7 linked regions of the Macaca mulatta genome follow. The protein of the gene in region 6 interacts with the protein of the main gene of each other region in a pairwise test. Links are inferred from orthologs where the notes say so. Each region holds a gene or a part of one and is shown on either strand. Other genes may lie near its edges. The genes, in order: SLC38A1, RPRM, TMEM11, SLC7A1, KCNS2, FATE1 and SMIM14.

Region 1 (4,181 bases), on a different chromosome or scaffold from region 6:
CCCAGTTGCCCCTGTTCCCCTCCATCGCGCTCCCTTGTCCCCAGGACTTGGAGCGCCCCAGCTCAGTTAACCTGGACGCACCAGGTCCTTCGGTCGGAACCACATGGGGTCTCCAGGCCCTCTAAGAGCTGGCCCCCGCCTCTTGCGCCTAGGCCGGTGCTTTCTCGGCGCTCAGCAGATCCTTCTGGTTGCCTCACACCCAGTCCCCAAAGCAGAGCTCCACAGGGCAGATCTCAGGAAGGGCTTGCCAGGTCTGCGGATGCTGGATCCGGAAGAAGGGAGGTGCCTCCCGCTTCAGGATAGGGACAAAGGGTTTCTAAAGGTGCCCGAGCTCCCCGCTCCCCCTGTCGCTTCGTTCCCCTTCCCGCCAACCCGGGCCATCTGCGGGCTGTACCCAGGGCCAACCCTCCGCTCCAACGCTGCTCGTAGTCCCAGGCGCTCCCCGCTGCTCTCCGGGCTGGGCTCGGACCGGCCACTCCCGCGGCCATCCTCATGCTGCGCCCTTCCCACAATGCAACTCCCTCGCTCCTTCGGCCCCGGCGGGGCTCTGGCGTACCCAAAATGCAGGCCCCAGCGAAACGCACAGCCCTCCTGTCCTCCTCCGGTGCCCCTTTAGCCACTCCACCCCCATCTCTAAGGGCTCTCATTCTCCAGCTGCCGCCGCAGCTGGGTTCCGAACACGCCGCCGGGCCCCGGGAGGGAGAGGGGCAGGTGCCAGGGCGGTGCGCAGCCTCCGCTCCCGGTGCCACCTTCAGTGCGGCGGGCACACGCGCGCCCCGCAACCCCTCCCTCACCCTTTCCCCGTTGCTCAATCTCCGCCAGCCGCGGTCGCTGCATCGTCAGAGAGCTGCAAGAGGGAGGCAGCAAGGCGCGGCCGCTAGCAGTGACACCATGTGACCGGCACGGCTCAGTGACACGCAGCTTTGGTTAAAGAGCGGGCGCACAGGAGGGGAGGAGACGGCGCGCGGGACAGGGAGGAATGTCCTGTCCCCCTTAAACCATCACAAGCCATGGTTGCGGAAGGGCCACGCGCCTCCCAGTAGGAGAATGACTCCGATTCGTGACCCTCAGCGCGGGTGCATGTGGATGTAAGTGCGAGGCCGGCGAGCAGAGTGTGAGTGGGGGTTGGTGGTGAGGGGAGATTCTGATGCAATCGGCCCGGAAAGGAGGAGGAGAGACAGGCGAGCGCGGACTGGGGCAGCCACGCCACTCCGCCTGAAGGTCGCCAGGAGCCTCCGCCCTTCACCTTCCTCGGAAATCCGCCAGGCCACGCCAAGCTCCCTGCCCAGCCCTGACTGACGGGAGCCACCTTTTCCCGGCCTCCGCAGCCAGACCTTGACACAAAGGACATCAAACTGCCGAGGGTAAAAACCCCGGAAGGGCGGACACATCCACGTCGCCTTTCGCCACCTTTCCCTTTATCTGCGGAGGTAAGGTGATTATCCGTTCCCTGGGAGGGCTGGGCAAGCGGCGAGGGGATGTTTAGATGTGGGAGGAGGCGGTAACGTAGAAATCATCTCTGCTGGCGTGAAAGCAGAGAGAGCTAGGCTGTGCCGGATGCTTTCGGATGTTGCTTTTAGGAGAGGAAAAGTCCAGGTCTCCTGTGCTTCCCGAACGCATGCGGCAGAGCGAGGAAGCGCCAGGGCCCCCGAGTTCACCTTTGCGTGGGCTGTGGCTTACTTTTTGGTTTGTTTTCCTGTGGCTTTGGTGTGTTTTCCTGTGGCTGTGGCGGAGTGTGGTACCAGATCTGGTTCCATTTTTACGAGGGCCGGGAACCACGCAGGTCTGGAGGGAGAGCGCATCTGACCCGAGGGCGCGACCCTGTTATAGGAGTGTTTGAATCCCCGACCTTTGGGGAAAATTTCCTGTGTCCCCAAGGCCCAGGGGAGATCGTGTGATGTCCTGGGGTGCTGCGTGTGGCCGGCTGGGTAGCCGCGGCGGACCACCAGTAAACCCGGGCACGTTTGCCGTCCTTCCTGGTGCTCTGCCCCTCTGTAACGCGGGGAAGTAGGAGGGCGCGAGGAGAAATTACTAAAGGATGTTTGCAAGTGACTCACTGTCCTTTCCTGCCCTGAAGAGGTTTTTCTAAAATGCAGAGGGTGGCGGGGGACAGGGATAGTGTTTTTTCGAGAGTCGGGATGTGCTGGAGCCAGCGAACAAAAGGCCACCTCTTGCGCGGTCTTGGGCGCTGACTGCTCTCGCTTCCAGTCCTACCTCCTTCCCAACCCCCGACAGCAAGCTCGCGTCCCTAAACATCGCCACAGAGGCCTTTAAATGCGTGGATCGGTGCCGGGAGGAGAGCGCACCTTCGTCCTTGTGCGAGCCCTTTGCCCCCTAAATTACCCACCTCCCGGAGCATGGGGCTCCTCAGTACCGTTGGGATCCGGTAGGTTACCCGGCTGCCTGGGCGCCGATTCCCTGCCAAATCGCCCGCCCGAGGTTTTTGCTGAACTGTAGTCAGTGAAGGCACAAGTGCATATGGCAGCAAAAGGAATTTCGCGGTAACCGCGTCACGCCGCTCCCAGTGCCTTTCACAGGCTGCCTTGGACTGGGGAAGGTGGTGCTACAATTCAGAGTCCTTTGTCTTGCTCTGCGGCGCGGACCCGAGGCTTATACAAACCCTCGTTCTCTGTTAGAAACTAACTGCCGCCAGGATTCGTTTACTTTCTCAGACGAATCCACGGTGATATATGTAGTAACAGTGAAAAAAGACGCCTCTGCTAGAAAACGGTATTCATTTGCGTTTGGAAGGGGTTTTGACCTCTCTGCAGTGGGTTTTTACATTTTTAAATACAAGGGGGAGGAGGAAAATACATTTATGGTTTGCAGAATGCAGGGCCCAGCGAGAGTGTAATTTGTCACCTTGATAAAAGAAACTGTGCAGCAACTCGTGCTTTTTCTGACGTCAGAAGGACAACGGAAATAAAACCTGAGCTCGGTGCATGGCTGGCCTCGTTGTCAGATACCTCATGCTAGTTTGGTCCTCCCGAAATCTTGCAAAACAGCCAATTCCGGGGTACTGACCTGGTGTGGACCCCCTGGATTTTGGTTCGACCCCAGCCTCAAAATGGCTTTTCTCTTGAGAGTCACTCGAGTTCTCAGTATGTTGCCGCAAGCAATTGGAAACTGGCCTAGTTTGGTTTGAGGTCTTAATCTTGAGATTTATTCGCTTTTTAAAAAAACGTGGCCAATAAACATTTTCTACAGAGGGTTTACTGTGCGACTGGTAGCAACTAACAAGATTTGTTTCACCTTCTATGAAGCTTCCGTTCTCAGGGGGAAACAGACTATATAAATGTAGGCATATACATTTCGGGTATTCTTAGTGCAATGAAGAAGTAAAACAGGATCATGTGATGGGGGAGGATGCTTGAAATAGAGTGACTCACCGGGAGGGCCAGTGTGAGGGTATAACATTTGTCCTCAGACCCGAATGATGAAAAGGGACCAGCTATTTCTATAATTGAGGGAAGAAGGCCAGCAGAAGGAACAGGAAGAAGGAACAGCAAGTACTTACTGCACTCTTCTTTGACTGTAATATAATTGAACAGAGAGATGAATAGATTTTAAAGGTGTTTTGGATCTTTAAACCTATATGTATGTTGTTTATGTATTTTTTTTTATGATGCTCCATGAATTAAGGCCGTTTAATGAAAGGAGCACCATGTTTAGGAGTCCTGACATCGGACGGTTGCTACTCTTTTCCTTACTCTGGGTGATGCTTGTGGACAAAAACCGATTTTACTCATTGTTCCTCTAATGTCCAGCACATAGTACCTGCTTAATAAATACTTGTTGGATTGAGACCTTGGTCAAGCCATCTTGTTCATCTCTTTGTGATGTTATTGACCATCCCTTCCTTTCTATATCTCATCTGTTCCCCTTCTCCTCAGTTTGAAAATTACAGTCTTTCTCTTCTCTGCTTCTCCTTCTCTTACTGCCCTCCCCACTTTGAGCAGTGACCAGGCCCTTGAAAATACCCCTCACACTTGTCCTCTTGTCTCCATTTCCACTGCCCAAGTTCAGGTCCCTGTCACCTGACCTAGACTTGGAGACATATGAAACAGATATAGAGGTGCCTTCAACAATCTCGGGGAAGTGGGAGTGGGCGGTGGAGAAAAATGCAAGCACAACACATGGTTAAGAGTGAAACAGCCAGTTACTGAGGTGCAACAGCTTTC
Region 2 (3,643 bases), on a different chromosome or scaffold from region 6:
AAGAAACAGAAATAAGAGGATTTACCAAGCAAACAGAATGAAATTTAGAGTTGAAAATGGCAAGACAGCTGCTTTTCAGTTTTATTTTATTTTTAATTGACAAACAATTGTACATATTTATGAGGTATAAAGTGATATTTTGATACACATATATATTGTGGAATGATCAAATCAGAGTAATTAGCGTACCCATTATCTCAAATTTTTATCAGTTCTTTGTGGTGAGAACATTTAATAGAAAATAAATGTATTCTGTTGAAAGCTCAAGTTACTGGTTTCCAGCTGTTACAGCTGAAAGAAAGAGGGAGGAAGGCAGGGAGTAATGGGGAAAAGGAGGGAGGGAAAAGAAAATAGAAAAGGGGGCGCGGGATCATGCAGTATTCTTTCAGAGTTAAGAAACTTAATCTATAGGTTTATAAAATTTCGTTGGAACCTACAGCAAAATCACAATGGCTGAAGCGTCAATCAGGCCCATACAAACATCTGTGTTTAGTTTAAATGACTAAGGGTGAAATGCATCAGCTTATGGAAAATGGGGAGGGCTCCCAGCATTTGGCCAGCGTTTTAGGTGATGGATGTTGATGAGCAATTCCTTTAAACAACTGATTTACTGCCAATGGACAAAATGCTGGAAGCACATCCAAAAATTCATCTGCAATTAAAATTACAAGCAAGTGGTCACTGTGTTCACTTCCTTTACCAGAGAGGTGACCCCTGCTCCCGGCAACCACCTCCACCCAAGGGCCACAGAAGAACTCCTCCTTCCTCTAACCCCCTTTCCTTGGCCTCACACCTCATGATAAAATCTGCCTTGCTCTGTCTCCCAATCGCTTTTGTAAAGGAAGTTGAGTGTAGAGCTCTTTTTTCTCCCTGCCTTCCTTTTTTCTTTCTTTCCTTCCTTCCTTCCTTCTTCCATGCCTTTCTGTCTTTCCAAATTCATTACTTTGTAAGAAACATTCTCAGATCACCTCCACTCCACCAGAAATCCAACGCAGGCGAGACGGAGTCAAGCACAGGCGGTGGGCGGGTGGCCTCAGCTGGCACCATCTGGCACCTGGGATTCATCGCCACTTTCCATCAGCCCAGAGGTCAGGGGGACAGCCGGCAGAGGACACGCAGAGCTCGTGTGTCCCAGTTCCTCTGAAACTTTCAGCTGACCGCACCCTCCCCCGCCAAACTCTTTTAATCATCCATCAAGCTAGAAGAGTACGATGACCTCTGCCTGGCCTTCGGAGTTTGCAAAAGAAGAAAGCAATAAAAAGCAAGACCAGGTTCGCCCCTTTGCTTCCTCCACCGCCCAAGAGTAGCGCGCAGCGCGGCGGTGCGGCCGGAAGGGGCCGCTGTTTACTCAGTGCAGCCGCCCCGCCGCTGCAGCCGCCGCTGCCCGCACCTCCCACGGCCGGGCTGGTCCAGCCCCGCCAAGTTCCAACAGCCCCCAGTCGAGCGAGCGCCGGGAACGAGCACCGCCCGGGCTGGAGCGGACGGCTTTAGAAGAGCCTAGCTGCTGCGCGCGTCGGAGAGGCTCCTGGGAAACTCCCACGGCCCAGGGACTTTCGAAAGCAGAGCTAGGAGCCCTTGCAAGCGCTAGTCTGCGAGTGAGCGCTCAGCTCGGCACCTGTTCCTCCAGCGCCGCCGCCTTCCCACCCCTCGGACCCGCGCCGCTCGCGGCGCCCGCCCGCTCCTGCGATGAATCCGGCCCTGGGCAACCAGACCGACGTGGCGGGCCTGTTCCTGGCTAACAGCAGCGAGGCGCTGGAGCGAGCCGTGCGCTGCTGCACCCAGGCGTCCGTGGTGACCGACGACGGCTTCGCGGAGGGAGGCCCGGACGAGCGCAGCCTGTACATAATGCGCGTGGTGCAGATCGCCGTTATGTGCGTGCTCTCACTCACCGTGGTCTTCGGCATCTTCTTCCTCGGCTGCAATCTGCTGATCAAGTCCGAGGGCATGATCAACTTCCTCGTGAAGGACCGGAGACCGTCTAAGGAGGTGGAGGCAGTGGTCGTGGGGCCCTACTGACCCGCCCCTCCGCCCCCGCGGCAACCGCTCCCACGCCTGCCCACTTTGCCAGCCCGGCTGTGCCCCTCACTGTCAGAGACTGGGCGAAGCAAACCTGTCGGAGTCAATTATTTCTCTCGACTTCGGCCTTTCGGAAAGAAGCGACCGGTTTCTCCCTCGCCCTCTGAAAGTCCTCATGCCTGGCAGTCGGAGGAGAGCGCCCGGACTTCTGGACTCAGCAGAAAGTGGCAAGAAGAAGGCGATTAGGGCGCAGAACTTTGGAAGCTGCTACTTACTTGGAATGCGGGGAGAACGACGGGGCGCAGGCCCTTCTCCACCCGCAGGTGGGCCAAGCTCTGGGGGCAAGTGGAGAGGGAGGGCAGGGGAGAGACCCAGCGGCACTGATCGCCTTGTGACCGGAAAAATGACCTGTTAAAAGCCACGCAGCAGACATCATGGGGTCTCACAAATCCGTGTCCGGGTGTGCTCCCACTCTTCTCCTGCTCCCCACCAGCCCTGGAGGGGAGAGGCGATAAATACCTTTGATTGTAACGTGCTGTTTTAAGAGGTTTTGTGTTTGTTTGCTTGAATACAAATATTTGATAAGTCTTTTTCTGCCCCAGTGGCCTGTTTGCCTGCCTGAGGGGTTAAAGTTTTGTCGTTGTGGGAGAAGGGGTGGGGGGAGGGGAGCCTGCGACTTTGAGGGGGGTGAGTTGTTTCTTTTAGTGCATTTCCCACTGGGTCTTTTGGGAGGTGTCTAGCGTTCCTGCTGGCCCTGATACAAAGACCCAGAATAGAACTCGTAGCTCGTGACTGCACGGTTTACGCCACAAAAGTGCTCTTGACATCCGTGACACCGTTTTGACTTTTTGTTTTTTTTTTTTCTTATTTAACATTTCCTTAATAAATGCAACATTTAAGCGTTTTGTTCCTGGCCTCCTGGTGGTCATTCTGCGCTCCCCAGCAGGGGGGGAACGGGGCGGCGGTGCAGAGTCTGGCTCCCGGCCAGGGAAATTCACCCTAGAGAGCTGCGATTCAACTTGTGGATCCCATGGAGGGGCGAGGGTGGGGCCAGACGGAGAGGCCCTGGGATGACTGAGACAGAGCCCAGCCTCAGGCACAGTAGCCGTCCTGGAGGTAGCATCCTTTGTTTCCTCTTATCGTGAATATTTTATATTTCATTTAGTCTCAGCTCTCAGATAGGCGAGACTACAGGAGGGCCCCCGCGGGAAGATTACACTTCCGTGCCAGGCTCCGGCGGGAACACAGGATTACACCGCTAATGAAAGGAAGAGAAGGCTTGGACAGCCTTTACGGAGAGCGTCTCTACCCTAACCAACGTCAGCGAGGCGGCTTTGGGATGCTGCCCACGGGCGGGGCCGGGGCATGGGGAAGGGGAATTATAAAATGCAAGGAAAAGTAGCTGCTAAGGTACACAGTGACGTTAATGCTCCCTGGGGTAAACCATTGTTACTAAAACATGAGATGCATTACTGTCGTTGCTATATTACTTTTTCTGGCAAAAAAAAGACCAGGTTAAAATAAAGGTTCAGCCTGTTCTTTGTAATTTAGACTGCCCCAGACCAGGCAAAGGGTTGAGAGGAGTTAGCCGAGGTCCTGAATGTGGGAGATGAGTATTACAACCCCA
Region 3 (3,500 bases), on a different chromosome or scaffold from region 6:
CACACCACTGCACTCCTACCTGGGTGACAGCGCAGGAACCTGTCTCAAAAATAAAAGCTGTTGAATCCTGCCTGGGAGTAACAGCTGGCCTCTCCCTCACCTCTCCTCTCAGACCACATGGAAAAACTCCACCGAGGGCTTTAGAAGGCAACCCCTCCTTTCCCCACAGAAGCTGCTCGTGCAGTCTTACAGTAACAGCTCATCAGTTCACCCCTGGCAAGGCAGCCACGACACTGGCACACAGTCACAGGCGGCTTGGCAGCAACCCAAGTTTAGGAGGCTCTTGTCCCACCCGCAGCGAACTGATTTCTCCCCAGTGCATGCAGTTTAATGAGGGCCTATGATTGAATTAGGAGGCTTTGCCTTAGCCCAGCTTCGTTACAGTGACTTTTGCAGGATAAAGAGTTCCCTTTGCCCAGGTCCAAGCCAGTGCCTTTTATGAAAGTGGTTCCCACCCAGGGGGTAGGGCCCCCATGTTTGGGGGCACAGTCAGCCCATTACTAATGACTTTCATCTTGAATGTGGCCACATAAGATCGTTCACCAGTTGTTCATCCAGCCAGCATGAAACCCAGCCTGTTAGGTTTGCTTCTTTGTTTGCTGAAAGCTTTGAGCTGGGAGGAGTCTCAGTTGTAGGGAGGACCGTGATTGCCTGTTCTTTTTCCTTGAAGTTTACCCTGACAGTCGGATTTCCACCATCCTTCACTTGGAACTGCTCCCATCTTTGAAGGAGCCTGGAGGGAGTTACCTTCATGCTGGGCTGAGGGTGGCTTGTTATGAGTCTTCACTCGTCGCTCCCATGTTGTGGCCGATGGCCAGGTGGCTCAGCTCCCCATGACTTTCCTCTGCACAGGTGCGCAGCCAGGTGTGCGTGCCAGGACAGGCCGGGCGGACGGGACCTTCGCGTCTGTGCACACTGAGGGCTGTGCTTCTCGTTGGCCCCTAAAGGAAGCTAGTTCCTGTCAGAGCCTCAGGTAGATGGGCCACACTGACCCTTGTGTGGCCTAGTACACTGTGCCAGAGCCTCCCAGTGGGAGGGGCATGGACTCCGGCAGGGGAGCAGTGACCAGCAGGTCCCTAGAGCCTCGTGTCCTTTAGTCAGATGAGTTTGACCGTCCTGGGGACCGGGGTGTGCTGAGGGAAGGGGCAGCTTTGCACTGAGGAGCATGGCTCTGCCCAGCCGGAGGAGCCATGAGTTGGAAAACTTGATCCAGCCTCAAGAGCTGTGTCTAGCAGTGTCCCTGTCAGGGCTCAGATCAAGACTTCTCGCGGATGAGCAGATAATGGAAAAGCAGGATGCAGAGTGGCGTTGCGGAGATGCAGAAAGATCTGTCTCAGCTGGCCGGGCGCGGTGGCTCAAGCCTGTAATCCCAGCACTTTGGGAGGCCGAGGCGGGCGGATCACGAGGTCAGGAGATCGAGCCCATCCTGGCTAACACGGTGAAACCCCATCTCTACTAAAAAAATACAAAAAAACTAGCCGGGCGAGGTGGCAGGTGCCTGTAGTCCCAGCTACCCAGGAGGCTGAGGCAGGAGAATGGCGTGAACCCGGGAGGCGGAGCTTGCAGTGAGCCGAGATCCGGCCACCACACTCCAGCCTGGGCGACAGAGCGAGACTCCGTCTCAAAAAAAAAAAAAAAGATCTGTCTCAGCTGAAACCAGCCAAGGAAAAATGACAAGGCGTGGGTAGCCCTGTATTCAGGCCTGCCCGCCACAGGTGAAGAAGATTCTGCTTTGGGTGGGAAATTTGGACTGCAAGGCCTGAAACCAAGAAAAGCCAGAATGCCTAAAATGCAGCTTGGCCCACGGTCACTGCTGGGGCTGCCACCGGGCTGCTGTCTGGCCTTGCTGCAGAGCTGCGCCTTCCATGTGGTGGATCTGCTGCTGCTTGGGGTCATGGCATGCACCCCAGTCCCAGGGGGAAAGCCCCTTGTGTGTTCTCTGTGGATGTGTTTCTGATGCAAATGAGTGGCATTTGCCGGTGGGGCAGGGGCCTGGGCCTGCAGGGCCGGAATCGGTGGCATTGCTGGCTGGATGTTTTGAAGCCCCTCAGTTGACCCTCCTGCCCGCTACGTTTGGGGGCCGCTACTGTCCTTGAAGTGTCGTCTTTTCCTAAGTCAGGGAAAGGGTCGCTTTTCCTATGCAGTGGGCTAGTGTCCTGGGTCTCCTGTTCTCCCCTCCGCGGTGGGGAGGAGCAGGAGGCTGCTGCCATCCGGGAAGGGCACCCAGGGCTCGTGCAGCCCGGCCTCCCAGGAGAGCCAAAGGAGTTTGGATTTTGCCCAAGGCAGAGCTCTTCCATTGTGCCTCTGTTCTGTGGGCCCAGGATGACTACTTAGGAACCGTGTGGAGGGTAAGGGCTTAGCATGATCTGTCCTGAGGCCTGTGGTTTGCAGTGAGAATCCTCCTGCAGTTGCCCTGATTAAGAGCGGCTCTCAGGCTGTTGGCCTCGTGCTGCCGTGTGCGCCCATGTGACTGTGCGAATCCTTCTTTCCCCTTTAGGCTCCTTTGCTGACTCAGATCAGTTGGTCCACAGCCTTAGGCTAACCACCAGGCCTGCGTTTGTTCTTTTAAACATCGAGGTACTCCTTTTCCTGCCTTTTTATATCTAAATTTTTTTTTTTTTTTTGAGACAGAGTCTCGTCCTGTCACCCAGGCTGCAGTGCAATGGCACGATCTCGGCTCACTGCAACCTCTGCCTCCCAGGTTCAAATGATTCTCCTGCCTCAGCCTCCCGAGTAGATAACGGGGATTATAGGCATGCGCCACCACACCTGGCTAATTTTTTGTATCTTTAGTAGACATAGGGTTTCACCATATTGGCCAGGCTGGTCTTGAACTCCTGACCTCATGATTCACCCACCCCGGCCTCCCAAAGTGCTAGGATTACAGGTGTGAGCCACTGCGCCCAGGCTTATTTCACTATTTCAGGAAAAGTACTTTTTACTGATTGTCTTGTGTTGGGATCTGAAGGAGATAAGGACCTCAGGGAGATGTGCTCTCCGCAGTGCAGGCTCAGACCTCCCCCAGCATCGAAACACAGTTAAGTGCTGCTCAGCCTAATCATCCTCTCTCTCTCTCTCCCTCTCCCGCCCCCTCCGTCAAAAGGGTGAGCTTGTCGGCCACAGACTGCTACATTGTGCACGAGATCTACAATGGGGAGAATGCCCAAGACCAGTTTGAGTACGAGCTGGAGCAGGCCCTGGAAGCCCAGTACAAGTACATTGTGATTGAGCCCACGCGCATCGGCGACGAGACGGCCCGCTGGATCACCGTGGGCAACTGCCTGCACAAGACGGCCGTGCTGGCGGGCACCGCCTGCCTCTTCACCCCGTTGGCGCTGCCCTTAGATTATTCCCACTACATCTCCCTGCCCGCTGGTGTGCTGAGCCTGGCCTGCTGCACCCTCTATGGGATCTCCTGGCAGTTTGACCCTTGCTGCAAGTACCAAGTGGAGTACGACGCCTATAAACTGTCGCGCCTGCCTCTGCACACACTCACCTCC
Region 4 (4,248 bases), on a different chromosome or scaffold from region 6:
TAGTCCTAGATGCTAGTGGAGGTTGAGGCAAAATGATCGCAAGACAGCTGGTATTTGAGGCCAGCCTATGCAACATATCAAAAACCCTTGTCTATATATAAAAAAAATATTAACTAGGCGTGATGACACAAGCCTGTAGTTCTATCTACTTGGGAGGCTGAGGCAGGAGGATCACCTGAGCCTGGGAATTTGAAGTTACAGTGAGCTATGATTGTACCACTGCATTCCGGCCTGGGTGACAGAGTGAGACCCCTGTCTCTAAAAAACAAACAAATGACGACAGCAACAACAACAAAACACTTTTTCTGAAGCTAGCACCATGCAATTATGTACTTTATAAATTGCTAGTCTAATTCCAAGGGAATAGTTCAGCAGCTGACATTTGAGAAGCACCTGTAGAAAGGATTCAAAGGCCACGGACACCGTCCACTGTTTTTGTTTTCCTACAAGAAGAAGGATGGCAGTATTAATTTATGCCCTGCTTACCTATCCCAAGTCGTAGATCACTGAATCTTTAAAGATTATGATTCTTGCTTGGTTTTTGGTACCAAAGGAGACAAGGAAGGAGCTTAAGAGGTGAGCACGGTGTGATTCAGGACTGAAGTTTCTGCCACTTCCTGGGAGGTAACTGCAAAAGTGAGCCGTTCTGACTTAGCTGTTTGTGCATTTGCCACCGCCAAGGGGGCACTGGTAGATTCAAGCTTTGGGGCTCTTCTGACAACTGGCAAGGATAAAGTATTAGCAAGGGCAAGGGAATAGCAATAAAATAATCCAATAACAAAGATATGAAGATTTATAGTAATTTTTAGGCCGGTGCAGTGTTTCAGGCCTGTAATCCTAGGGCGCTTTGGGAGGCCCAGGCGGGAGGATCACTTGACCAGGATTTCGAGGTTAAGGTGAACTGCGCTCCAGCCTGGGCAACAGGGCAACACTCTGTCTCTAAAAAGAAAAGACAATTTAAACCCTTTACGTGCATACCAAATCTTATACCAGAAGGAAAACTGGTCTCGAGCTCCGTGTGAGCTCCCTGGGGCCCGCCGGGACGGGGTTGGCACAGCCGGACCTGCGGCACTAGTTCTGGCCGGGCGCTGTGGGATCTGCAGGGGACCATAGGATGCTGTGGCGCGGCGGGCTGAGATTGGCGGAGAAGCGGCCACACGCCTGCCGAGCTACTGAGAAGGCGAGCGGAGGTGCACCCCGCCCGCCCTCCCGCCCGCCCGCCCTCCCGCCCGCCCGCCGCGGGAACCGCAGGTTGAGGCGCCGGGCGCGCGAAGACTCAGCTGCCCCGCCCACCAAGGGCGCGTCGGTACTCGGCCGCCGCCTCTGGGCTGGCAGCCGCCACCGCGCCGCGCTCCCATTGGTGCCCGGCGGTGACGCGGCCGAGCGGGCCGGGGCTGCCTGGTCCGTAGGCGGGCGCGGGGAGCTGGGCGCGAGGGGCGGGGGCCGGGCGCGCGGCTGATGAAACCTGGCGCCGGATTCCGCCAGTCCTCCGCGCCCATTCAGTCAGCGCGGGCAGGTGTGAGCCCCGGGTCAACCGCCTGGCAGGCGCGCACGCGGCCACCGGCTCCCGCTAACCGCAGCCTCCACTCCTCTCCCCGCGCGCCGCGCCTCCGCCCCGCCCAGTCTCCCCGGCCGAGCGTCCGTTGGTCCTTGAGCGTGTCCGACTGTCCGTCCACTGTCCTGCCGGAGCCCCGCCGCCGCCGGCTCGGTGAGTGCCCGGCCCCCGCCAATGCAGGGGGCAGCTCCTTGGGCCCGGGTTATCACGAAGGCGGCCCTGGCTCTGCGTGGGGCCACGGGAGGGCGGCGCGGGAGTGGCGAGGGTCCCCGCGCCGGGAGCGCTGCCATCCTCCGGGAAGGGCCAGGACCTGGACCGGGCGGGCCCTGGAGTGGGCACGCGGGGCTGGTGCCCATGCGGCTGTCGCCTCCACGGAGTCCATTTTGGCTCCTTGAAGCCGCGGCGTGGTGTATGATGCAACACCGAGTGAGTAAGCGTGGGCGACCTGGCGATGCCCGCCCCGCGCGCCTGTCCGGGGACCCGCGCGCCGCTACGCACCGGGTGGTCGGGGTGGGTAGGTGGGCGGCGGGTGCACTGGCCAGCCCGGGAAGCATCCGGAGCCCGCTGGCAGCGAGGAGACCTTCCCTTACATGGCGCGGTGCAGAGCACCCCGCCCCGCCACGAGGTCCGGGGATGTGTCATCAGCCTTGGGTGGGGACCCTGCCCGGCCGCCCCGAGGGTGGTCCTGCGGCAGGTGGCCCGCCCGGGGACTCTGTCGCCATCCCCGCCTGGTGGTCGCCCTGACCTAGAGCACCTAGCCCTCCGCTTGTTCCTAGAACCCGGGACGCGCCGCCTGCACCTCTCGTCTGGGTCCCCAATATTGCTTCGATGAAGTCTCCCCTAGGTGGGCTTCTTTGTGACCCAGTGTGGCCTGAAAAGACCGGGTTCCTCAGGCCCTCCACATGGTTTGGAGTGAGAGGAAGTTCTTCCGCCTTTGGGAAGACACCGTATTCTCAGGGTATTCCCTTCTGCGTAGTAGAAAACTTCCCGGGCATGGGCAGGTCACAGTCATTCTAAAACCTACGTGTATTCAGAGCGGCAGCTGCGCGGTAGTACTACAACGGCCTGTTGGTTCAGCTCCTGACCCTTTCGAGGGGATGGGGGACCCAGATAGCAGTTGTGTTTGACTTGTGTGACTGGGATAGTCAGACATGTGCCTTCAGGAAAAATAAATAACCTGCATTTCCCAATACTCACGTCATCACCGCCATGCCCTCATGTGTTGGGTTTTAGTCCAGACATAGTTACCAGATGGTTGGGATTTCAATCCCAGGTGTATCTCCCTAAAAAATGTGCCTTTTATTTTCCATTCGACTAGTAGAATTGTGTATGTCGGCCTCTGGCTGAATGCCCTAATTGTATTTAATTCGAATTATAATTTATTTGGGATTTTTCTTAATATTTCTTGCCCTTTATGTTTGGTTCAGATAATAGGTAACCATGAAACATTTATTCCTCTGGTATTTTTAGTTGGTGTCAGTGGAAATTATCGTGATTTTCATATGAACACACCTTCCTGTTATTAAAACAAAAGGTCTTATTTAAGTCACACGAACAGGATAGAAACTTAGGGGAAAAGTCAACAATAGGTTAAAATAGTTTTAAAAATAGGTTTAGCATATTACGATCACGTTTAATTATTATAAAGGTAAAATTCAAAGGATGTCAAAGGAGTTTTGAGTAAAGAGGATACGGCTTAATAAGTGGATCAGAAATGTACTCCCTTGTCTGGGTCTGGATCCTAGAGCCACATGCTTCTGTGCATATGATTACTTGCTTTAGGTGAAAAAAAAAAAAAAAGGCTTGAAAGACAAGGTTGTTGACTTCAGGGAGTTTCAATTTTCTATTTGGTAGAAGAACTCATTCTTTGATGGAATTAAATACATGTTGATTGATTATGCCGGTCTGTAGTTTATTTTAACCAAAGTCCATACAAATAGGTAATTATGTTGGAGGGCTCAGAATTATGTCCAATTAAATTAATCCTTTCTCATTATCAACCATGTATTTGGAGAGATTGCTGTTATTCCGAGGGACAAATTTGAAATGTGAATAAGTGCATCCTTGTTATGGAGAAAAATATTTTTTTCCCTCTAAACCTTGGAGATACTTGGGTCTCGGAGTTATCTCTTCCAGAGGCATCTTCAGAGATGCCTGTCACTCCACCTGCTTCTTGGTCCTCACTCCAAGCAAGACGTTCCGATGGGTTGTGGTGTTTTTCTATATAGTTGGGCCCTGCAGACCTGGACAGATTTTAAAGCAGATCCAATAAGATTGGCCAGTGGATTCATGGAGGGTGAGAAAGGTCAAATATGACTCCAAGCACATCAGAGTTGCTGTATTAATGAGATGGGAAGGCTGAGCAAAGAACCTGTTGGATGGAAGAGGGACTTTCTGAAAGTCACAACTGCCCTTTTTAGAACTCTCATCCCCAGGGTCAGGGCTAGAAGACGTATCTTCTTGGAGCCCCTTTCAGGTGCCTGCCTGTGTGTTGCAGCCAGCCGTCCAGGGTGCTGGCGTCCTTCCCCTTCACCTAGCCTCACTGGCTCCTCTCGCCAAATCTGGGGGGTCTCTTCAACCTCTGGCTCCTTGCTGCCCATGGCCTCCCTTTGCTCCTCTGCCGCCTTCTAGTGGGCCACCTGGCGGTGGGCTTGTCCTGTGGAATGGGGACCCTCTAAACATGGGGTTCAAAG
Region 5 (4,248 bases), on a different chromosome or scaffold from region 6:
GGGACGGCATTGCCAGAATTGCCTAAAGAAAGAATGTGCTTCCCACTGTGGCTGTGGTGTTTGCACCATGAGTCCAGAGCCACCTTGCAAGGGCATTCCCAGGACTTCTGACGGAGACATGTAGACGCTAGCTCCCTGCTAAGCTCGCACACCCACGGTGCCCCAGTTTTGCAAGTGGACACCACAGAGAAAGACCAAAGGGAGGGGGCTGCCCAGGGACTGGGTCCATTTCTCAGCTCAGCCCAGTAGGCAGGGCCTTAAGGACAATCCTAGGAGACCAAGAGCTCAGATCTGGGCCACAAGTCTTCTTGGGAATGGGGACGCAGATCCTGAGCACATCTACCAGTCCCCACTCCAGCTCGAACCCCCCAGTCCCCACTGTTGGCACGCACATCGGTCTCAACGTATTCCACACACATAAGTCCGTCACAGTCCCAAGAATACTACACTGTACACAGCACACTGTACACACAACACACGGTTCCCCATGCCACACACCGCGCTGACACACGTCCCAGGGCTCCCCTGTGCCGACGCATCTTCCCATCCGACAGAGGACCCATTTTAATGAATGCGGTACACACAGTGAAAAGTCCTGCTGTCCTCAGCCTATACACACACACAGCGCCCTGCAGTCCCGCACAGCCCGCATACCACACCGGCCTGGACACAAACGGTGCCCACACAGAGCTCCCGACCAGAACTCAGCGACTCCTGCCCCCGCTGTGCGGCCTGCGCTACCGTCCCCCGCGTACTAAGCCGAGCTCCACCTCAGACTTCCCGGCCCCCTGTTTTCTCCTCCAGCTCCTTTTCCCCAACAACCCCACCCCCGGTCTTCGGGAAACTTTTCTTCAGGTCCCTAAAAGGGGAAACCTGGAGTTCCTCCGGTCCCGCCCTGTCCCCGGACACGCGCAAGCCGCCCTTTATTTCCCAGCCCGGCTCCCGCCAGACCCAGCGGGTAAAGGTCACCGTGGGCAGCCCCCTGCCTGCGCCCTGGGGGTGGTGATAATAACAGCTGTCACCGGGGGATGGGCGGGGGGGAGGGAGGGGTGTCGGCCCCGCGCCGAGCCGGGGGCGCAAGGTGGTCGCGGTGACGCGCCGGGGAAGCGCAGAGAAGCAGCGGCGGCGGCGGCTGCGCCTTCCGAGCCCGGGGCGGCGGCCGAGGCGCGCGGAGCTGTCCGTTCAGCACCACCGCGCCGCGCCCAACGCAGGGCCCGCGCCCGGTCACACCCGCTCTGCTCCCGCCCGGGTTCACGGGGCGCCTGCGGCGCGGGCTCCTGCTTCTTTCGGCGGGTGACGGGCGCGCGGATCCGGAGAAGGGGCTCCGCGAGCGGCGGGACCACGCAGCCACCTGTGAGCCTTCCGCAGCTGCGGGCGGCGGCGGCTTGCCCGGCCCGAGACGGGAGGAGAAGCTCGGCGGCCCCCGCCCGCCGGCCCGCCGGGCGCACACTCGGGCGCACACACTCGCATCCGCGCACGCACCGCCAGCAGGCAGCGGCCACCGCCGCGATGCTCGCCCGCGGGTCGGGGAAGTTTCCCGCCGGCCTCGGCCGCGGGCGCCCGTGCTCCCAGGTAAGCGCTTCCAGAACGCGCAGGGCGAGCCCGGGCAGCCCCGCCGGGTGAGGCGCAGCGCACGCGGCCCTGGGGCATAGCGCCAGGCGGGTGGTGAGACCTGGGCCGGGGACGCGGGGGCTGCAGGCTTGGGAGCTGGACCCAGGGGAGGCCGGGCCGCCCCGCTCTTTCCCCGGCCCGGGTTTCCAGACTCCAGCGCATCCGCCCCAACCTCCCAAAGCTACGCGCCCCCCATGTCGGCCCCGCTCTGCCCGTGCGTATTTCAGCTCTGGTCCCTCCTGTCTGCGGCGAGCGGGCGGGGGCGTCTCCCGGGCCTGCCCATGGACAAGGTCAGCACGCAGCCCCCTGGGCGCTCAGAGCCGCGGGGACGCGACGCTGCACGCGCAAAGCGCCAACCGAGACCCCCGGGGTGGAGCCGTGCTAATAGAAACATACCTACCCCCAGCCTTTCCTGGGAGGGGGCCAGACCCCTCAAACTCTTGCCCCAGCCCAGTGCCCTTCAGCACCCAAGACCCACCTAGGAGGCTTGGGCCCGCCAGAAATGGGTAGGGAGAGGGGGCGATGGGCCGGGGCGCACGGCCCTCTTGCCGATGCTGTTCCCTCCGCTTCCAGGTGTAGCGCCCCCGCGCGGCGCGGGCGGCCGGTGCCTCCAGCATGACCGGCCAGAGCCTGTGGGACGTGTCGGAGGCCAACGTCGAGGACGGGGAGATCCGCATCAACGTGGGCGGCTTCAAGAGGAGGCTGCGCTCGCACACGCTGCTGCGCTTTCCCGAGACGCGCCTGGGCCGCCTGCTGCTCTGCCACTCGCGCGAGGCCATTCTGGAGCTCTGTGATGACTACGACGACGTCCAGCGGGAGTTCTACTTTGACCGCAACCCTGAGCTCTTCCCCTACGTGCTGCATTTCTATCACACCGGCAAGCTTCACGTCATGGCTGAGCTGTGCGTATTCTCCTTCAGCCAGGAGATCGAGTACTGGGGCATCAACGAGTTCTTCATTGACTCCTGCTGCAGCTACAGCTACCATGGTCGCAAAGTGGAGCCCGAGCAGGAGAAGTGGGACGAGCAGAGTGACCAGGAGAGCACCACGTCTTCCTTCGATGAGATCCTTGCCTTCTACAACGACGCCTCCAAGTTCGATGGGCAGCCCCTTGGCAACTTCCGCAGGCAGCTGTGGCTGGCCCTGGACAACCCTGGCTACTCAGTGCTGAGCAGGGTCTTCAGCATCCTGTCCATTCTGGTGGTGATGGGGTCCATCATCACCATGTGCCTCAATAGCCTGCCTGACTTCCAAATCCCTGATAGCCAGGGCAACCCTGGCGAGGACCCTAGGTTCGAAATCGTGGAGCACTTTGGCATCGCCTGGTTCACATTTGAGCTGGTGGCCAGGTTTGCTGTGGCCCCTGACTTCCTCAAGTTCTTCAAGAATGCCCTAAACCTTATTGACCTCATGTCCATCGTCCCCTTTTACATAACTCTAGTGGTGAACCTGGTGGTGGAGAGCACACCTACCTTAGCCAACTTGGGCAGGGTGGCCCAGGTCCTGAGGCTGATGCGGATCTTCCGCATCTTAAAGCTGGCCAGGCACTCCACGGGCCTCCGCTCCCTGGGGGCCACTTTGAAATACAGCTACAAAGAAGTAGGGCTGCTCTTGCTCTACCTCTCCGTCGGAATTTCCATCTTCTCCGTGGTGGCCTACACCATTGAAAAGGAGGAGAACGAGGGCCTGGCCACCATCCCCGCCTGCTGGTGGTGGGCTACTGTCAGTATGACCACAGTAGGGTACGGGGATGTGGTCCCAGGGACCACGGCAGGGAAGCTGACTGCCTCTGCCTGCATCTTGGCAGGCATCCTCGTGGTGGTCCTGCCCATCACCTTGATCTTCAATAAGTTCTCCCACTTTTACCGGCGCCAAAAGCAACTTGAGAGTGCCATGCGCAGCTGTGACTTTGGAGATGGAATGAAGGAGGTCCCTTCAGTCAATTTAAGGGACTATTATGCCCATAAAGTTAAATCCCTCATGGCAAGCCTGACGAACATGAGCAGGAGCTCACCAAGTGAACTCAGTTTAAATGATTCACTACATTAGCTGGGAGGACTTGTCACCCTCCACCCCACATTGCTGAGCTGCCTCTTGTGCCTCTGGCACAGCCAGGCACCTTATGGTTATGGTGTAAGGAGTATGCCCAGCCCCTGAGGGGAGAGATGCATGGGATATGCACCCAGGTTTCTTTTGCAGTATTTAGAATCGTTTTTAGAGGGTGGTGTGTCTGACACCATGCCTTTGCACCTTTCCATGAAATGACACTCACTGGTCTTTGCATCGTGGGCATAAAATGTTCACCTTTTTGCCAGATGAGTACACCCAGAATGCTAATTTTTCTGTTCATCGTGTACGCTATTCTAGTGCTTGTGGCCCAGTACTGTCTATGAGTTGTTGTGCTCCTGTTTCTGAGGTTGTCGTGTGAGTTCTGTACAAAAAGCCCCCACAAGTCTGTCCACTGGAAATGCATCTATGAGGTCAGCAAGGATATCATGAGATTTTTGCTCACAGTCATGTGAAAACAAAATCTCAGCTCTTTATTCATTACTTTCATTTAGTTTTAATACCAAAACAAAGAGAATGCAAAGTTAAGCACACTTGACCAATGCAAGTCTTAAGTTGTTTTTATAAATG
Region 6 (2,304 bases):
GCAAATGAGAATGTTTCTGGTCCCTTTCAGGAGATTTCCTCTGATTGCATCCCTGCAACACAGTCCAGACATGCTCCCAGAACCACACACCCACAAGCACCCATTTGCATCAGCCCAACAGGAAGAACTTTGCAAAGCTGGGGCTGGGGACAGTGAGGCGGGGAAGGTGAAAGGGAGGAGGAAACCAGGGCACCTGGGGCAATGGCAGAGGCTCAGTCCCAGCCACAAGGTCTTTGTGAAGAGGCGCTGTTGTTCCTCAGTGCACCCCAACCCCACTGTTGCCCCAAATGAGTGCTGGACACAGGAACCTCAGCCACAGAGTTTTGCTGCTATGGCGGAACTTTTATTGAGCATGATGTTTGCGCAGAGCGTTGTGCACGAGGTGGAAGCAAACGAGGGAGGAAAACAAAGCCACACCCCTGCCCACAGAGGATGGAACAGAAGGGCCGCTGAGGTCAGGAAGGCAAGGTTGCCACTAGGTGTTACTGTGGCGTCCAGATGCCGCCATGCTCTTCACCCTTCAAAGGATGGCATCTCAGCCCATGCAGTCCTCCTCCACCTTCGCAGCAGCCAGGACCTCCCAATGCAGTGACCTGACCTCCCCAGGTAGGAGGCCTAACCAGAGCTGAAAATGACCCTGACGCTGCCTGAGGGCTGCTGGGAGATAAAAGGGGGATGGGCAATGGCGGCCCAGGGAAAGAGGAAAGAAAGAAGGGGAAGCAGGGAGGGCTCCAATACGGAGGCCGCGCGGGGGCGATCACTGGTTCATCCACAGCCACAGGTTGGCTATGCTGGCTGACACCAGCACGGCGATGATCAGGGTCTCCCTCTGGCGCCAGGTGGCGCCCTGCTCCTCCAGGGCGCGCAGACGCCGGTTGACTGCATATAGCTGCAGAGGAGCCAAAGGGAGGACTACTGAGCCAGGCTCTTCTCCAGAAGCCCACAGCTCAGCCATCGGAAAAGCATAAAGTTAAAGCAAGAAGGGGCTTGATTGCCCTTTGGCGGTGGAGCGGGGAGTGCCCCTAGTGAGAAGCAGGGGGCTGGGCCAGGTCCGCTGGACCAAAGACTTGGCTGCTGCGTCTGCAGTCGCTACTTCTGCCTTCTCCCTTGATGCTCACTTCCATTCTCTGGAAGAGGCCAGCCCATTCCAGCTGCTCCGGGGGGCCAAGGGAGGAAGGGTCTCCTCCTGAGAAGGTCTGGGTTTGATTTGAACAAAGGCGACCCCTCTCTCAGACTGTTGGGTATCACTCTCTCTCTGGACATAGAACACTTATCCTTGTATGTTCCCTCTTCCTTTACCTTTTATCGGCCCCTATTCCCTGCCAGCATCTCAGGGACAGCAGTAGGTTTGAGATTGGACATCTACCTGGGTCAGAGCCATGGGGATGAGGAGGAAAAGGAAGGGAATCTGCCCTACCTCCAGCGCTAAAGGGAAAGATGACTGTAAGGGGCTACAAGACCCCAGATGTTGAGCCCTGACTACTCCAAGGCATTGTGATTCTGCTTGCACCCACCAATTGGGTCCCTCCTCACCTGTCTTCTCATGACTTCCATCTCCAGTACATTGAGCTCTTCCAGGCTAGTCTGTGCCACTGCATCTGTACCTGGGTTGCTGGGAGAGAAAAAAGACAGAGGGTCAAAGCTGCTGGTGGCCCCGGCAGGACCTGGCAGTGAGCACAAGAAGGCAATGAGGTCAAGCAGGTAAGGTCAGGAACTTCTTGGACAGTGACTATGAGCCTCCAGTCCTCTCCCATGGTAAAGAGGGCCTAGGGCCTTGAGGACTGGGAGTCAGCCTGAGCTAGCCTGAGCCAGCCTGGCCCAGCCTGGCCCAGCCCAACTCGGCTAGCCCACAGAGCACTGGGATGCCCCAAATGGGCAGGGAGCCAGGGTGCTCATGGTCTCTGACAGGGAGGCATTCCAGGCCCTCATGACTCCGTCCTGGCCAAGCTGCTCACCAGCCCCTCCGCCCCACTCTGGGCCCTGTCTGAGCAGCCAGGGCCCACAGACCCTCAGCTCTTACCGATCATAATGGAAACGCATGCCTTGGAAATTGCCAGGGTACTCCTGGAGATGGGCATCCCCATGGCCTGATTCTCTCAGCATTCTGGGCATTGGCAGCTGGGACCCCTGAAGAAAGGAATGATCAGTAAAGTAGCCTGCCCAGCCCCACGTGAGTGGCTTCCCCAGTTTGCCCAGAACCAATGGTGCACCCCATGGGGAGTCACATGGTGCCTGGTCTCTGGAATCAAGGGCTGGCAGCTTCAGGCCTCTAGGAAAGCTTGGGAACTCCACACAGGCTGCTGG
Region 7 (3,500 bases), on a different chromosome or scaffold from region 6:
GCTGGAGTGCAATGGCGCGATCTTGGCTCACTGCAACCTCCACCTCCTGGGTTCAAGCAACTGTCTTGCCTTAGCCTCCCAAGTAGCTGGGATTACAGGCGCCCACCACCATGCCCAGCTAATTTTCGTATTTTTAGTAGAAACAAGGTTTCACCATGTTGGCCAGGATAGTCTCGAACTCCTAAACTCAGGTGATCTGCCCATCTCGGCCTCCCAAAGTGCTGGGCTTACAGGCGTGAGCCACCGTGCCCAGCCTCATGGAAATATTTTTAAAGAGATAATATTCAAATTCAATGTTAAAAAAAACACACACATAAATACTGGTTCTGAAAAGGATTAAAAGGAATCCTTTAACAGAGGTTCTTTTTTTTTTTTTGAGACACAATCTCACTCTGTAGCCCAAGCTGGAGTGTGGTGGTGTGATCTTGGCTCACTGCAACCTCTGCCTCCTGAGCTCAAACGATTCTCAAGCCTCAGCTTCCTGAGTAGCTGGGACTATAGGCGCACACCACCATGTCCGGCTAATTTTTTGTATTTTAGTAGAGACGGGGTTTCACCATGTTGCCCAGGGTACCATGTCCGGTTAATTTTTTGTATTTTAGTAGAGACGGGGTTTTACCATGTTGCCCAGGGTGGTCTTGAACACCTGAGATCAGGCGATCTGCCCGCCTTGGCCTCCCAAAGTGCTGGGATTGCAGGTGTGAGCCACTGCGCCTGGCCAACAGAGTTTCTATTAAAGATAGTACTGAAAACTCCCTGTTGGGTCACTTTATCACAGTTTTAATTTAGAAGGTTCTAAAAATGGTTGTAATCATGACTATCAAGATTTATCAACATGAATGATTCTGACCTCTCCTTTTGCCAGCTCAGTTGATTTGTTGTGGTACAGAAATGGAAAATGGGTTTGAGAGAAATAGGATGGGAAAATGAGGAAAATAAAATCAGACAGGCTCAGTGTCTCTACTGAATAGCTAGGACAGAAGGGGGTCAAACATTTGAGCTGAAGCTACTAAGAGTTTAGAGGCTAGAAGCATGAGAGGCAAGGGATCAACTGTGAGGTGGACAGAACTGAGTAGTGGAGGATTGAGATTTAAGCAATATTGCTGTGGATTATGAAATGGATTATTTCATAATGCTTCTCATGCGAGTAAAGATTGGAATTCAAGCCTGGGCAACCTGGCAAAACCCCATCTCTACAAAAAAAAATACAAAAAACTAGCCAAGTGTGCTAGTGCATGCCTGTGGTCCCAGCTACTCAGAAGGGTGAGGTGGGAGGATCACCTGAGCCTGGGAGGTAGAGGCTACAGTGAGCTAAGATCGCACCAATGCACTCCAGCCTGGGCAGCTGAGCAAGACCCTGTCTGAACAACAACAACAAAAAAATTGGAATTCATTTTCAAATTAATTTTCGGCTTCTGGTCTGTGCTTCTTTCTGCATTTAACTCCACAAAGATTAAGCCATCAATTAAATCTTGGAATTGCAAGATTTAATAGAACTACATAGGTAGAATACTCTATGAGTTAAATGTAATTTAACTAATATAGGTATTTTAGTCAAAACCAAGTCCTTCCCTGCCCCAGGTCACATACATTCCCTTACCCAAAAAGCATTTAAAATGTGCAATACTTACATTATGAGGACTGGTTGGCTTTCCAGGTAGGTTGGATCCTCTTAGATTCGGAGGTCTCAGTAAGAACAAGATCAATGCAATAACCATCCAGGCCACTAAGATCATAGTAACACTGATGCCATTATCACCAGAGGGTCCTGGTACTAAAGACAAACAAAAAATGTAGCATGCTCACAACATTGTTAAAAGTAAAAATAAATTCTAATGTTTAAATGTCAGTTTCAAATATTGTGTTAATATAAAAATTGTATTGATAAATTAAAGAAGTACATATTATACCTTCAATTTCCCTTTCCTCCAGTGAGAACATCTAAAAAGTAAATGATGTTAAATAGTCATAAACCAAAACCTAGTAAGTTTTTGTTGTTTTCATTTTTTGAGATGGGGTCTTGCTCTATCAAACAGGCTGGAGTGCGGTGGCTCAATCGTAGCCCACTACAGCCTTAAACTTCTATGCTCATGGGATCCTCTCACCTCAGCCTCCTGAGTAGCTGGGACTACAGGTGTGTGCCACCATGCCCCATGCCCCAAATTTTTAATTTTTGTTTTTAGGAGAAACACTGTGTTGCCTGGGCTGGTTTCTAACAATTGTTTGTTTTTTTTTTTTAGATGGAGTCTCACTCTGTTGCCAAGGCCAGAGTACAGTGGGATGATCTTGGCTCACTGCAACCTCCACCTCCCAGGATCAAGCAATTCTGCCTCAGTCTCCTGAGTAGCTGGGATTACAGGCATGTGCCACCACGCCCAGCTAATTTTTGTATTTCTAGTAGAGACAGGGGTTCACCATGTTGGCCAGGCTGGTCTTGAACTCCTGACCTTAGGTGATCCACCCGCCTTGGCCTCCCAAAGTGCTCGGATTACAGGTGTGAGCCACTGTGTCCAGCCCCACACCCCTAATTTTTTTTTTTTTTAATTTTTAGTAGTGATGACGTCTCACTATGTTGCTTGGACTAGTCTCTAATAAATTTTTTAATAGTACACTAATTCTTAATATTTTGGGGTAACAGAATCATTTGAGAATTTGATAAAAATTAAGAACTCTATTTTAAGAATTCATGGGGTCCTTCAACAGAGGCCTTGCAAGGCAAGCTGGCCATGCCATGTTTGTAGATTAGTGAGGCTAGGGGCCCTAACTTCCCTAAGATCTACTTTTCTAGCTACCTCTGCCCTGTGTCTGGCACCTACATCCTTCATGATTGTTCTTTTTGATCCATTCTGGATTAAAAATAAATATGAAAAGCACTCATGTATACCAAATTCCACAATTTTGCATATAATTGTGGAAGGTTTAAGGACCCACAAAGCCACGAATCCATAGATTTGCTGAGATCTATGAATCTGAGTTAAGACCACAGAAAAAACACTCTCCTTTGGGGGGAAATCTGCATCTTAATTACAGAGGCATCATGAAAAAGAAAGGGAACATCCGGGCTGCATAATATATACATTAAAAGATCCCTTTAATTACAGTCTCAACCAAAGAGATGACTTTGGCCTTCTTTTTCACACAAAGAAGTTGAATTCAGGTCTAGATATTTTAAAATTTAATCAGTTTTTATCTTCTATCAATTTTTTGTCTTCTATTTATCATGAGGAAAAAGCTAGACAGGGATGTATGTAAGTATACAGGTATCAGTTTTTCCTGGCTCCTTGACATAGCCATGTCTTATTTAATTTGAAATAACAAGTGCCTAGCACAGTGCCTGATATGAGGTTAACAAATTTCTAATAAATGAAACATAGATTTTTTATTGAAGTATATTAGAGAACTCAATTTTCAGAAATACAAATGGCCGGATGCGGTGACTCACGCCTATTATCCCAGCATTTTGGGAAGCCAAGATGGGCATATTGCCTGAGCTCAGGAAT

What was found.
Region 1: the proteins of FATE1 (region 6) and SLC38A1 interact in binary tests that used the Homo sapiens proteins (3 or more experiments, as listed by UniProt). The two-hybrid records come from large-scale screens. The link is inferred for Macaca mulatta from reciprocal best matches to the Homo sapiens genes FATE1 and SLC38A1.
Region 2: the proteins of FATE1 (region 6) and RPRM interact in binary tests that used the Homo sapiens proteins (3 or more experiments, as listed by UniProt). The two-hybrid records come from large-scale screens. The link is inferred for Macaca mulatta from reciprocal best matches to the Homo sapiens genes FATE1 and RPRM.
Region 3: the proteins of FATE1 (region 6) and TMEM11 interact in binary tests that used the Homo sapiens proteins (3 or more experiments, as listed by UniProt). The two-hybrid records come from large-scale screens. The link is inferred for Macaca mulatta from reciprocal best matches to the Homo sapiens genes FATE1 and TMEM11.
Region 4: the proteins of FATE1 (region 6) and SLC7A1 interact in binary tests that used the Homo sapiens proteins (3 or more experiments, as listed by UniProt). The two-hybrid records come from large-scale screens. The link is inferred for Macaca mulatta from reciprocal best matches to the Homo sapiens genes FATE1 and SLC7A1.
Region 5: the proteins of FATE1 (region 6) and KCNS2 interact in binary tests that used the Homo sapiens proteins (3 or more experiments, as listed by UniProt). The two-hybrid records come from large-scale screens. The link is inferred for Macaca mulatta from reciprocal best matches to the Homo sapiens genes FATE1 and KCNS2.
Region 7: the proteins of FATE1 (region 6) and SMIM14 interact in binary tests that used the Homo sapiens proteins (3 or more experiments, as listed by UniProt). The two-hybrid records come from large-scale screens. The link is inferred for Macaca mulatta from reciprocal best matches to the Homo sapiens genes FATE1 and SMIM14.

Annotation. Positions count from the first base shown.
Region 1 is NC_133416.1:53,346,873-53,351,053, reverse strand, and holds the start of SLC38A1 (sodium-coupled neutral amino acid symporter 1), read left to right. Parts: upstream 1-1,381; 5' UTR 1,382-1,430; exon of another isoform or gene 1,431-1,435; intron 1,436-4,181. UniProt on the Homo sapiens protein: Symporter that cotransports short-chain neutral amino acids and sodium ions from the extraccellular to the intracellular side of the cell membrane. The transport is elctrogenic, pH dependent and driven by the Na(+) electrochemical gradient.
Region 2 is NC_133417.1:58,348,100-58,351,742, reverse strand, and holds RPRM (protein reprimo), read left to right. Parts: upstream 1-1,443; 5' UTR 1,444-1,686; coding exon 1,687-2,016; 3' UTR 2,017-3,143; downstream 3,144-3,643. UniProt on the Homo sapiens protein: May be involved in the regulation of p53-dependent G2 arrest of the cell cycle. Seems to induce cell cycle arrest by inhibiting CDK1 activity and nuclear translocation of the CDC2 cyclin B1 complex.
Region 3 is NC_133421.1:22,088,550-22,092,049, reverse strand, and holds part of TMEM11 (transmembrane protein 11, mitochondrial), read left to right. Parts: intron 1-3,103; coding exon 3,104-3,500. UniProt on the Homo sapiens protein: Plays a role in mitochondrial morphogenesis.
Region 4 is NC_133422.1:9,489,717-9,493,964, reverse strand, and holds the start of SLC7A1 (high affinity cationic amino acid transporter 1), read left to right. Parts: upstream 1-1,448; 5' UTR 1,449-1,570; coding exon of another isoform or gene 1,571-2,197; exon of another isoform or gene 2,198-3,871; intron 3,872-4,248. Other genes in the region: uncharacterized protein LOC144336222, read right to left, coding at 1,571-2,197. UniProt on the Homo sapiens protein: High-affinity, low capacity permease involved in the transport of the cationic amino acids (arginine, lysine and ornithine) in non-hepatic tissues.
Region 5 is NC_133413.1:108,804,198-108,808,445, forward strand, and holds the start of KCNS2 (delayed-rectifier potassium channel regulatory subunit KCNS2), read left to right. Parts: upstream 1-1,448; 5' UTR 1,449-1,572; intron 1,573-2,184; 5' UTR 2,185-2,226; coding exon 2,227-3,660; 3' UTR 3,661-4,248. UniProt on the Homo sapiens protein: Potassium channel regulatory subunit that modulate the delayed rectifier voltage-gated potassium channel activity of KCNB1 and KCNB2 by altering their kinetics, expression levels, and shifting the half-inactivation potential to more polarized values.
Region 6 is NC_133426.1:157,958,366-157,960,669, reverse strand, and holds the end of FATE1 (fetal and adult testis-expressed transcript protein), read right to left. Parts: intron 2,128-2,304; coding exon 2,021-2,127; intron 1,613-2,020; coding exon 1,534-1,612; intron 890-1,533; coding exon 758-889; 3' UTR 501-757; downstream 1-500. UniProt on the Homo sapiens protein: Involved in the regulation of endoplasmic reticulum (ER)-mitochondria coupling. Negatively regulates the ER-mitochondria distance and Ca(2+) transfer from ER to mitochondria possibly implicating it in the regulation of apoptosis.
Region 7 is NC_133410.1:38,769,434-38,772,933, forward strand, and holds part of SMIM14 (small integral membrane protein 14), read right to left. Parts: intron 1,775-3,500; coding exon 1,632-1,774; intron 1-1,631.